Linked DNA regions of Oreochromis niloticus. The protein of the gene in region 2 interacts with the protein of the main gene of each other region in a biochemical or structural test. Links are inferred from orthologs where the notes say so. Each region holds a gene or a part of one and is shown on either strand. Other genes may lie near its edges.

Region 1 (5,739 bases), on a different chromosome or scaffold from region 2:
TTTTGTTTCGATTTTGAGTCTCCTTTTTTGTTAAGCATCAGTCCAGAAAATTGTATCCTATCTGAAAAAGGCCCACCGTCCATATCCATTAAGAGACAGGCACATACTTTTGGAACTAAAAACTTCCACAGTTCAAAAGATTTTGGAATTATCTTTAGTAATTCTTCTGAATTTATGCACAACTTATGTATAAGGTTGTTCATGTGCAACAACCTTTGTAAGAGTTCATGCAATAAGTGTGTGTTGAGTTGGAGTCTCATCTGGTCTCATTTTTATCATTTATTTTTACTTACTGTTTACATTGTACACCTATTCTCAGTGCCACTAAATATTACATGACTTTAAAATGTAGCTCTGGTGCTATGGTATCAAGGTGCGGATCTCTTTGGGGGCATATGCCATTTACCATTTTTTTCACCGCTCTATATCTAGAATTTGTATTGATCAATTTTGTTTTGTTTCTGTTCTGACCCATGTTTAGATTATTCACTGTATGTTAAAAATCGATGTAACTACCAGCAGGGGGAGACTGTTGGAGTTTTACCTGGGTGGCTCCACAGTGTAGTTAAGTGAAAAATTCCTGGAGGAGACAAAAATCCCTTTGGTACTGAGTCAAAAAGGGCATCAGCCTTTAAAAAAACAAAAAAACACGTGGCACTGCGGTGACCCCTTGTGAATAAGGTAGCAGCCAAAAGTAACTTGTTTTTCTATAGAAGCCTATGGAAAAATGACCCTTGACCTCTGCCCCAATGTTTTTGTCAAACAAGTGTCCAGATCAAAGCTAAGCTCCCCTCATGAGGTGCAGTGCTGTGAAAAAGTACTTTCCTCTTTCCTGATTTTTTCCCTTTTTTTTTTAAATTGTCAAACTTAAATGGATCATTGTCTTAATATTAGACAAAGTGAACCCAAGTAAATACAAAATACAGTTTTTAAATGATCATTTCAAGTGGGAAGCTATTCTAAGCTACCTGACTCTGTCTGAAAAAAGTAATTGCCCCCTAAACCTAATAGCAAGATTGTGCCATCAAAGTGTTTGTGATAACTGACAATGATGGCAATCTTTCACATCACTGTGGAAATATTTTGGCCCACTCTTCCTTGCAGAACTAATTTAATTCAGCCATCACTGTTAAAGGTCATGCCAAAGCATCTCAATCTGATTTAAGTCCAGGCTTTGATAGCTTGGATAGCAATTTTCCCCACAATAAACAAAATCACCATGTAAAACCTAGATTTTGTAATTATTTGGGTTATGTTTGTGTGTATTAAAATTTGTTTGATTATCTAAAACATTTAAATGCCAAAAATATGCAAAAAAAAAAACCAACCAAAAAAACCCCCAAAGCAATCAAATAATGTTTCACTGAATTGTATATTGATCTAAAACTGTGTAATTTTCTCTCAGTAGATTTTTGTTTATTTCAGTTAAAATCAGTTAAAGGATAACGTAAAAACATTCTTGTGAACAAACTGCCCCTTTCTACAGAGTCCAGTTTAAACACCCTGCAGATGGTGAGGTTTTGTCACAGTTTTCATCTTAGAACTATTTTTCAAAGGTTTTGCTGGATAGTTTCAAGTCTAATTGACTACAACAGGAGTTTTTTTGTTTTTTTAATAAAAGGCCTACATTATGCCTGACATGTCTCTACTATGTGAGTAATTGGTGTCCTTCAGTTGCTCTGTCAGATCTGCACCATGCTCAACAAGTCCAGTTTCAAAATATAAAGATCGCAACAGCAATAATGCTCAGTTCAAGGTGTCTCAGTGTGACTGTGCTAATCAGTGGCTGATGTCCATCTTCTGTTTACATTCTATGGCTTACTGAATAAGCATACCTGCACAAGCAAGTAAATGTGTGACAACTTAGCAGTCAGAACCCTGCTCTCTATAACCAATGATTAAAAAATAGGGCACAGTGCCATGCAGCTGAAAACCAGAACATTCCAGCTTGAGATGTTATTCTGGTTAGTTCAGGTCCTCTAGTAGTTTTCCTTTATAGTTGCAGGCTTTGAAGAAAGCTCAAAGAGCCAAACATCCACACTTAAAACCTAAAAACCTTGTATTGAGATAACCAAGATCTAAATTGGCTGTTCACCTGGAGATTTTGAATACAGGTATTGCCTTTCATTTAACCCGGCCTGTGTTTTCAAAGCACTTTAAAGAAGTTGACCCTCGAAACCTAAAGGGATATGCAGCCCAACTAGAAAACATGACTAAAATAAAAGCAATTTCCTCTTCTCTCTCTCTCTGTCTCCCTCTCTCCTCTGCTGGAGTGTAACCTTTGACCAAAGCACATACTCCAGCTTTCCACACTCTGGAGCCAAGTACTCAAAGTCAGAGCAGAGTGTTGGTTTTGGCTTGTGCTTAGACAAGAAAGAACTGGATGACGGGGGCGTCGGACAGAGAGACAGGCACACAGACAGACGGACGGACAGAAAGTAGGCCAGGACTTTTTTTTTCTTTCTTTTTTTTAGGACTTGTTTTTATGTGAGTGACAACAGGAAGGCGCTAATTTGTGAAAACAGATAGCACACAAAAAAAGAACATGTTAAGAGAAAAACTGCATCCAAATCAGCTTATTTAAATACGGCTATAAAAATCAACCTTGAAATTATGTTCAGATAACTCATGTTTTCTATGAATAATAATCATAAGAATCAAAAAGGCCACAGTAGCTTAGCCATGAACCTCTATTGATTGTAAAACTAATTTTGCACTGTGGATTGATTTTTCCCCCTGAAAGCATCTAATTAATCTGATCAGTAATCCAAATAATAAGTTGGTTAGTCAAGATGTAAGGACATTGTCCAGATTAGAATAAATAAAAAAGCATGCACCTATTTTCACACACATAAACTTGGTTATTCTACATTCAATAACTTACCAATCTCAGCACTGCAAAAGAGCTGTTGTGGGTGTGCTGGGTGGCAGCTGCATCCCTCCACAACTTCCTCCAAGCCTGCACCAAGCAAAATGAGCACCCAAAGCCCCAGACACACACTCCGCTCCTGGGACACGGCCATGATGACTCTGGCTACCTCTGACCGCTCCGCCACTTGATGAAAGCTCGGCAACCTCTTGTGATCCTGTTAAGTTCCCCTGGAAGCAAGTCGGGTGGGCAGTCAGCAAGAGGGCAGGGTGATAGATAAGACGGTGGGGTCGAAGTGGTAAGATGAGCTCTGCTGAGCCGAAAGGCAGCTGTGGATAGAAATGTTTTCATAAGTTTAAAGTAAACCTATGAATTCAAGCTGCAGTGAAGGGAAGGGAAGGCTGCTGCTACTGTTGCTGCTGCTGCCACTGCTCTCTTTTCTCTTCTCCTCTCTCCCTCTCTGTAGACAATACGCAGAGGAACTTACAATAGTTGGATCCCCTCACACTCTGGTCTTGAATGCTGAGAGGGTCGCACACAGGGAGCCTCTTATGTGCTCAACAATTTAGGGACAGCCTCCTCTAACGCAAGAAGAAAAACTACCATCCTTTGGCTCTTCTTCTGCCCTCTTTTGATGTCCCTACTCTCCTCCCATAGGCTGGCATAGGTCTCATTTACTTAGTCATAGTTTCATGTTTCATGTAATCACATCCACTTGGGAGATTAGGTTTGGTTTTTGGATTTTGTTTACAGAGCTGCAGTGGATTTGTGTACATACACGATGATTTTGGTGATTCCCTGACTTGTCCTCTAGCACCACCATGAGCATCACATGTTAGGATTTTACTGAAATAAAGACAAATTTTTGTATTATATTTGCACAGTGTTCCTGTGACTTTCATAAGATGTTTATTGGCATTATTTGAGGATGAATTTTACTGACTTTGATATGAGTTTTCGTTAATTGCAGCAGTTTTACTGCTTTACTAACAACGACCACTGCTAAAGGGGCCTCTTACTTTTCACTGCAGGATTTTCCAGTGTGTTATTATAACTAACATAAGTTGTCATTATGCTTCTTCATCATTATTTATCCATCAGTTATACTGTTTCTTTGCAGATTACAACACCAAGCTTCCCAGTGGTGGTGAAGATTGGACATGCTCACTCTGGAATGGGAAAGGTAATTGATTTCTTTATTTATCAACTGGCATATATACAGTTAGATTAACTATTTAACCACATCTGCTTTACTTACACTTTAGCTACCATTCAAAGATATGTGGGGATCGAATATTACAGCCAGGAAATAGTTTTGGCTCTGTGAATGGAGGACAAATCATGTGGCTATTATAGTAGTTAGCTTAGATGGTTAAATGGTAATCATAAAGCACCACTACATCTAGAATCACATTTATTGTACTTTTTAGTGCTTTTGCTGGCATACACGACCACTTAATAGCCTTCTCCCATCCTCTGCTTCCATCTTAGATGTCTTTCTTTATCCCTTTCCTCCTATCAGTTCATTGTTTTTATTCTCTCTTCCCTTTTGTCCTAACATTGTGCTGTTATTGATTGACAACTGTGTTAATATTTTCTGGCTGAAATCAGAGTGGAGCGTTTCTGCCGCTCCTCATCGATCCACCACACATCATTCCCCTGAACTGCTCAGTTCGATAAGCCATTTTCACACATGCACTACAGCCCCGAACTTTCCTGCACATTATATGGAGAAGCTTTATGTGAGAAAGCAAACGTCTTATCCGGTCAGATTGGACATTATTGTGACACAAGAAGGTATTATTTTTGTATTACAACTGAGTTACAGGAGCTCAACAACCACTCATACTTGAAAATGTTCTAAATAGTCTAAGCCTCCAGGTCTTAAAAGTAAAGCCGATGGAGAAGCGCTTTAACCTGCACTTTTTCTATTTAGCAGCAGGGGTTGAAATGTGCATTGATGGCATTTGCGTGACAAATTGTAAGACTGGCTGCATTTTGAGAGTCTTTCTTTATTTGAATAAATAAATTAAGTATTTATATGTTTTACTCCAATGTAGGTTAAGGTGGACAATGTGAGCGACTTCCAGGACATTGCAAGTGTGGTGGCCATCACTCAGACTTACTGTACTACAGAGCCATTTGTAGACGCCAAGTACGACATCAGGGTCCAGAAAATTGGCACGGACTACAAAGCCTACATGTAAGTGTGCTGTCCTTGTGCGTCATTTGGATTTAGGGATGATATATTGTGTGTGTGTGTGTGTGTGCGTGCGCGCTCATGTACCAGCATTTTAGCAGGCAGAAATATAAATCTTGAAGTTTATCATACCGCATCTCCGTGTCTCATGTGCCTTTAGTTTACAAAATACTTAAGTTTAGAAAAAAACAAAGAGCATATGCTAACATATGGTTATGAAGCTGCCATTGAGACAGTTAGCCTACAGCTGTGCTCTCTGCCTGACTGCAGTTAGTAGCTGAAGCCACAAACCTCCTGCTGCAAGGATGCCTCCTTCTCTCTGCCTTTAATTGCCTGCATTTATAATATCTATACTGAGGGGCTGACTCTGTAATAAGGCTTTAACATAATAATTTAATGCACAATTTCCTCTCCTTTTCCAGGCGAACATCTATCTCTGGTAATTGGAAAAGCAACACTGGATCTGCCATGTTGGAACAAGTAGCCATGACTGACAAGTGAGCACCGCTTCCACATCAGTGATGCTCAGGCTGCCCTGATGTCACACACATCTCTCTTGTGTTTTATCACAGTTAGTCAGTGTACTCAGATTAATTCAGCTGAAAGCAGTTGACATTTTGTACCACAACTGTTTTCACATCATCTGCTCATGGGTGAAGCATGCATTTCA
Region 2 (5,739 bases):
TTTACATGCAAATCAAACCTTATCATCTCCATCTCTTTATGCCACTTTTGCCGACAAAATTGCATTCATATGCACAAAGGCATTCAATTACTGTAGCTGTGGCTCAACTTTTCACATACCAGCATTTTCTATTTGGAGAGGCAGGCCCATGTACATTTAATAGGTAGCCATTCTGTTCCCCGGCTCTGTGAGAGATCACTGCCAGTGTGTCAGTTAGAGGAGATGGCAGCATGTATCAGTGCATGAAATAAAGCTCCTGCTCCAAAGTGACAGGTCCTGGATATTGTTGGCAAATGGATGTTAAATTCACTCTGCAACCACCAACAGCAGCCCCGGCTATGAAAAATTAACTGTACTCTGGCTAAAGGGAAGGGAAATTGCTTTGCTAGATATACCACAAAATCCTGTTTGTGAGCTATCCATCTGTCAGATCTCTTTGCAAAAAAAGTCCTTCAGCTCTCTCTATTAAAGAGTCTGCTCTCATATGCTGTTCAGAGTAATCCAGTATGAGAGCGGAAACAAAGAGATGTCAAAGAGAGTTAGAGTAAATCCTAAATCTGTGCTGTAGATTACAAATCAGGAAAGAACACTGGCTCCAAGGGCCACAAAACAGACCAGGTACTTGTTATATGTGAGCCACTAGAGGGCACCAATCACCACTGTAACTATTCAATAGTTAAAGTAGGTTAGTTCACTTAGTGTAAATTATAGTACATTACAGTGCTTTGGGAAGCGAAGCGTTATACACCAAACTACATAAGAAAGATTCTATACGATACATTTTCCACTGCACAAAAATATTTTGTAAACCTTTTATATACATATATATATGATATTACAAATCTTATGACCAGGCACAGTCCAAGAATAGTATATTTACAAGGCGTTCTATTATATATATCTACATCTTTCATTTGCAGATTGCTGTCGTTAAGTAAAATGTCTGATGAGGTTTAAAGTCAACTCATGGTAAACAGCAATATATTTATTTATCATATTTTACTGTGTGTTTATTTTCTATAACATGTATACTAGGATAAGTAAGCGTTAGCGAACATCGCCCCCCACGCGAACACACACACACACACACACACACTCATCCTTTGTTTTTGTTTTTTTCCTTATTAGTTTTCATGGGTAGAATACATATATGGTCTCTTTTTAGCTTCCAAATATTGAGGCCAGTTTCGCATCCTACCAGCAGATGTCAATCTACCACTTTCAATAACTTCTGGCCTTTCTGCAATCGGGTGTCGCTGTTTTTCTCTCCTGGCAAGGTAATATATTGTGTGGTGACGCTCAGCAGCTTTGTACGGAAGCGTAGAGCTGCTTTGCGTCAGTGAATTCCAAATTAATCCGGTATAATGATCCCCCCCGCTCCCTCTACCCACCGCAACGCGAGTGGTTATTTAGAAATTCATGAATAGGGATAGAAAAGAAAATCGGTCGCTGGAAGTCAGAAAGTTAGAAGGGGGGTGTGGTGGTGCTCTCAGACAGCAGTGAGCAGTGCAAAAAAGTACCAAAAAAGTCGAGCTAGAGGCGGATAAAATATATGAGTACCGCCCACTTCTACCAATTATAAAGTTATTGGCTGAATTGGTTGACAGAACGTAATTTAGTAAACAAATAGGTGATTTTAAGTTTGGAAAGAAAAATGATAAAGATCATCCCCAAACAAACAAAAAAGTCAAACAATGTGCTGAAACCTCTTGTCATGCAGGTTATAGTTTATCTTGGAATCTGCACATATTAATTTAAGAAATACACACTTAAAAAGCGGAAGGTTTTCATTGGTTTAATTGGTCAGCTTGGGCGAGAGCCCAAAATTGGTTAATTTCTCCACTAGATGATTATCCTACTCTTTAAAAAAAAAAAGATAAGGAAACAATAAAAAAAGAACATTTTTATTTATTTGTAGACGTTTTCTGGTAAAAGCGGGTGACTAAGAACTGTAGTCGATGAATCATTCAGCATTTGATTTGCTGGTTCGTCCCCATTTCTTTCCCAACCTGGAGACTGCGCAGAAGGCGTCGGGGGAAAAGTGCATGTGCAAGCAGAACTAAGAAAGTTTGCAGACCCGAGGTGCAGGATGTCCCGTTAAGGAGAAAAAAAAAATCCTGCTGAGGAGCAGAAGCAACACAAGCTGACGGGCTGAAAGGACTGCAACTCAGAGCGAACGGCACTTACCGCACAAGATATACTGTTAACCCGAGAAAATGGGCTTTCCGACGATATTCAGTTGTCGTCGGAGTCTTCTCAAATTGTTTTTGCTTCAGTTCATCGCGTTCCAAACAGTAAATGCTCGTCCTTCTCCTATTATCAGGTTTCCCGGAGACGATACCCCCAGAACAGACAAAGAAGTTGCTTTGGTAAGTTTCTTTTTCTTTTTTTCCTTCCTCAGAATATGTCTAAGTAGGTCAGGCAGCAATGAACTGTTTTTACCCCTGGAGTACCAGAAATGAACAGGAGTAGTTTTCACATTATTTATTTCTTATTGTTCTAATTTTATATAAAGATACCCTAACAACGCTAACCTATTATTTTATGTTTTTATCCAAACTTTAGCATTATCTAAACAAGTTTTATGGATGCCCACAAGACAGATGTAATCTTATGGTTCTCAAGGATACCCTGAAGAAAATGCAAAAGTTTTTTTCTCTGCAAGAAACTGGAGAGATTGATTCCAAAACTGTAGAGATCATGAAAAAACCCCGCTGCGGTGTCCCAGATGTGGCCAATTATAACTTCTTCCACAGAAAACCCAAATGGCAGAACAAGGACGTCACCTACAGGTCAGAGAATTAACAATAACACACATGATAATGGGAGTGAGTGCCAATCCACTGTGACTCCAAATTAGTTCTCAAACAATTGCGGAGGTTTTAATCAGCTTGGCCTGCAAAATGGTTATGGCATTACCACTGGGTGTGATCTAATAGTTTTTGAGTTACTTGGCATGCTGCACTTTAGGGAACCATTTACTGCACAGCACTTTTTTAAAAATCTGTTGCTTTAACAATTGCCCATAAATCAAAGTTGTTGATACTGAGAAATATTTGCCCCTGTCTGACCCTCTAAAACCGGCCCCACCCTCTCCACAACCTCCATTCCACACTACCCCCATCCCCACAGTCTGAAGTGCTTGCATCTTTATGTCTCGCTAACACCAACATTCCTACACAGTATGTGTCAGGTCCTTTGTTTTCATTCTGTTTGAGGTTTACTATGATGTGGATGTAGTTTATTTATATCAGCGGTTTTGCGTGTTCTGATCATTCCAGCCTCTCTGCCTGTGTGTTTATAAGAAAGACTGGAAGCCAAAGACAATAACAACTATGAGATCTTAGACTGTTTTCAGGAAAAGGACTGTGTAGACAGGCATACAAATGGGTTTGCGGCTGAACATTGTTTCAGGAGGCGCTTTTACAGATTACTCATATTGGCCTCTTTATTTTCCATGATGTTCAGTAAAGAAAGGAGAATTTGCAACACTCACAGATTGTCCTGATTGGACAATCTAAATCATGCTTGTTTGTCTTGTTCTACTCAATTTGTAGAATCCTGGGTTACACTCCCGATCTGGATGAAGAAGTCATAAATGATGCTTTCTTCAGGGCCTTCAAAGTATGGAGTGATGTCACGCCACTCACTTTCACCCGCATCATGGATGGAGAAGCTGACATCATGATTAATTTTGGCCGCAATGGTATACTATGTGTATAAACATCACGCTATGTAGATATTCCATTTGTTATTTGAAAACTATTGTACATCTGTACTCAGGTGGGTTTACGAGGATCACAATTAATAAAGAAATGTATCAGTTTGTTTTATAGTAATACGCATATTGTAAGCCCTCAAAATACTCCTTTTATTGGATCTGCCACATCTTTGTAATAGAATAAAGAGATTGTGCTGCAGGATAAAATTCTAAGAATGTTCCTATAATAATTAGCACAAGTCAATATTTAAACAGAAGCTCACGAGTTCTAGACTAATGCTGAAGGAGCAAAAACATACATCTTTTTAAAGTAACATTCTTTTCAAAGTGACTCTACACCCCAGCCATCCTGTATTTTAGGAATTCTCTAAAGGCAGTGGGGATTATGGTATTAACCCAAGTCATTCCAAACATTCCAGCTAAAATAACCACTTGATATTTACCCACATTCTGTCTGGTCACAGCTGACTGTATTCAGAAAGAATCTAGTAATTACAGGGGAACGCAACCGAAAATCGGCCGCTGAAGAAGACATGGAATTGTTGCTTCAGAAACAGAAATCTTTGCATACATGAACAAATGTCACATCATGTCTTAAGTAGTCAGTATACCTGTTTTGATTGGTTAATGATGTCATCAATAGAGCATGGAGATGGTTACCCCTTTGATGGCAAGGATGGTCTCCTGGCTCATGCCTTTGCTCCAGGCCCAGGAATTGGTGGAGACTCTCACTTTGATGATGATGAGCAGTGGACACTTGGAGAGGGGCAAGGTAATGAAAGAATGCTAGTTACAAAAAGTGCATGCAGCAAAACCACCAGTGTCGATTTCTTCATTTATTTAGTTCTTCATTTTTTGCTTAGACAAGTTCATTTAAAATTTTGTCTGGTGAGAATTTGACATTGTAGAAACTAATATAACTTTCAGATACTCTTTTCCAAGCATCTTTTTCTGGCACCTGACATCATTTCAAACTACAGACATCTGGAAGCTAAATTTAAAAAAATCTCTATTGCACACATTTGTATTCGCATCCATTGACCCAGATAGTTTTACTCCCAAATACTTCCCCTTTTTTAACATCCTTATGTCTGGATATTTAATTTGTGTGAAAATAATCTATAAACCTACTTTCCATTTCTCTTGGTGCTAGTTTCAAACAGATGAACAGATGAGGATCTCTTGGATGAACTTTTATTTTCTCAATATGTGTTTGTTGTTCATACTGTTACATACAAATCATTTGTACCCTGCATTATACAGTTTTGTTGGACATTTTTCAAAGCCTACTTTGAAACTGCTTTCCAAATTCTAGACAACAACATTTGCTTTAACTTCCAGGAGAAGCTTGCTATGTTATTGGTTAGCTTGCTTATTACAAAAATTACCTTCTAAACATGTGTGAAATTAATGCTACAAAGTTTCATAGTAAATTGAGAAAGCATCATATGAAATCAAGCACCATAGAGTGAATATTCATATAGCTTCACCTCTTTCTATACATAAGTATGTATCTATGTATGCATTCTTTGTTTTACAGTGGTGAAGGCAAAATTTGGCAATGCTGATGGCGAGTTTTGTAAATTCCCTTTCCTGTTCATGGGCACTGAGTACAACAGCTGCACACCTCAGGGTCGTGATGACGGTTTCCTATGGTGTTCCACCACTTACAACTTTGACGAAGATGGCAAATATGGCTTCTGCCCTCATGAATGTAAGCTTACCCAGTGGGTCCCTTTATTGTTAAAACATATACTGTATGTTTGACATGCAGCTGCGATGTCTGTTTGCACGTTTTGCTTTTGAAACTTTTGTGGCCCCACATGACCTTAGATGGAGTGATATGCCCTACTTGGATCTTATTGAACCAGACAAAACATTTAATTAGTCTTTCAGTACTAGTAAAGTAATACTTAATATCACATCATAGCTATACTCAAAGCTGTTCTGTTGATTTTGAACATGAAGAAAGTAGGTTGGCCAGGAAAATGCTTTTTTTTTTTTGTTTTGTTTTGGGG

Evidence for each region.
Region 1: the proteins of mmp2 (region 2) and metalloproteinase inhibitor 4 form a complex in vitro, tested with the Homo sapiens proteins (2 studies listed by BioGRID). The link is inferred for Oreochromis niloticus from reciprocal best matches to the Homo sapiens genes MMP2 and TIMP4.

The regions. Positions count from the first base shown.
Region 1 is NC_031970.2:18,948,197-18,953,935, reverse strand, and holds the start of metalloproteinase inhibitor 4, read right to left. Parts: upstream 3,530-5,739; 5' UTR 3,357-3,529; exon of another isoform or gene 3,199-3,356; 5' UTR 3,024-3,198; coding exon 2,885-3,023; intron 1-2,884. Other genes in the region: syn2b (synapsin-2b), read left to right, coding at 3,990-4,052, 4,930-5,072, 5,492-5,566. UniProt on the Homo sapiens protein: Complexes with metalloproteinases (such as collagenases) and irreversibly inactivates them by binding to their catalytic zinc cofactor. Known to act on MMP-1, MMP-2, MMP-3, MMP-7 and MMP-9.
Region 2 is NC_031965.2:30,275,346-30,281,084, reverse strand, and holds the start of mmp2 (72 kDa type IV collagenase), read left to right. Parts: upstream 1-2,064; 5' UTR 2,065-2,216; coding exon 2,217-2,369; intron 2,370-2,565; coding exon 2,566-2,792; intron 2,793-3,557; coding exon 3,558-3,706; intron 3,707-4,364; coding exon 4,365-4,493; intron 4,494-5,261; coding exon 5,262-5,435; intron 5,436-5,739.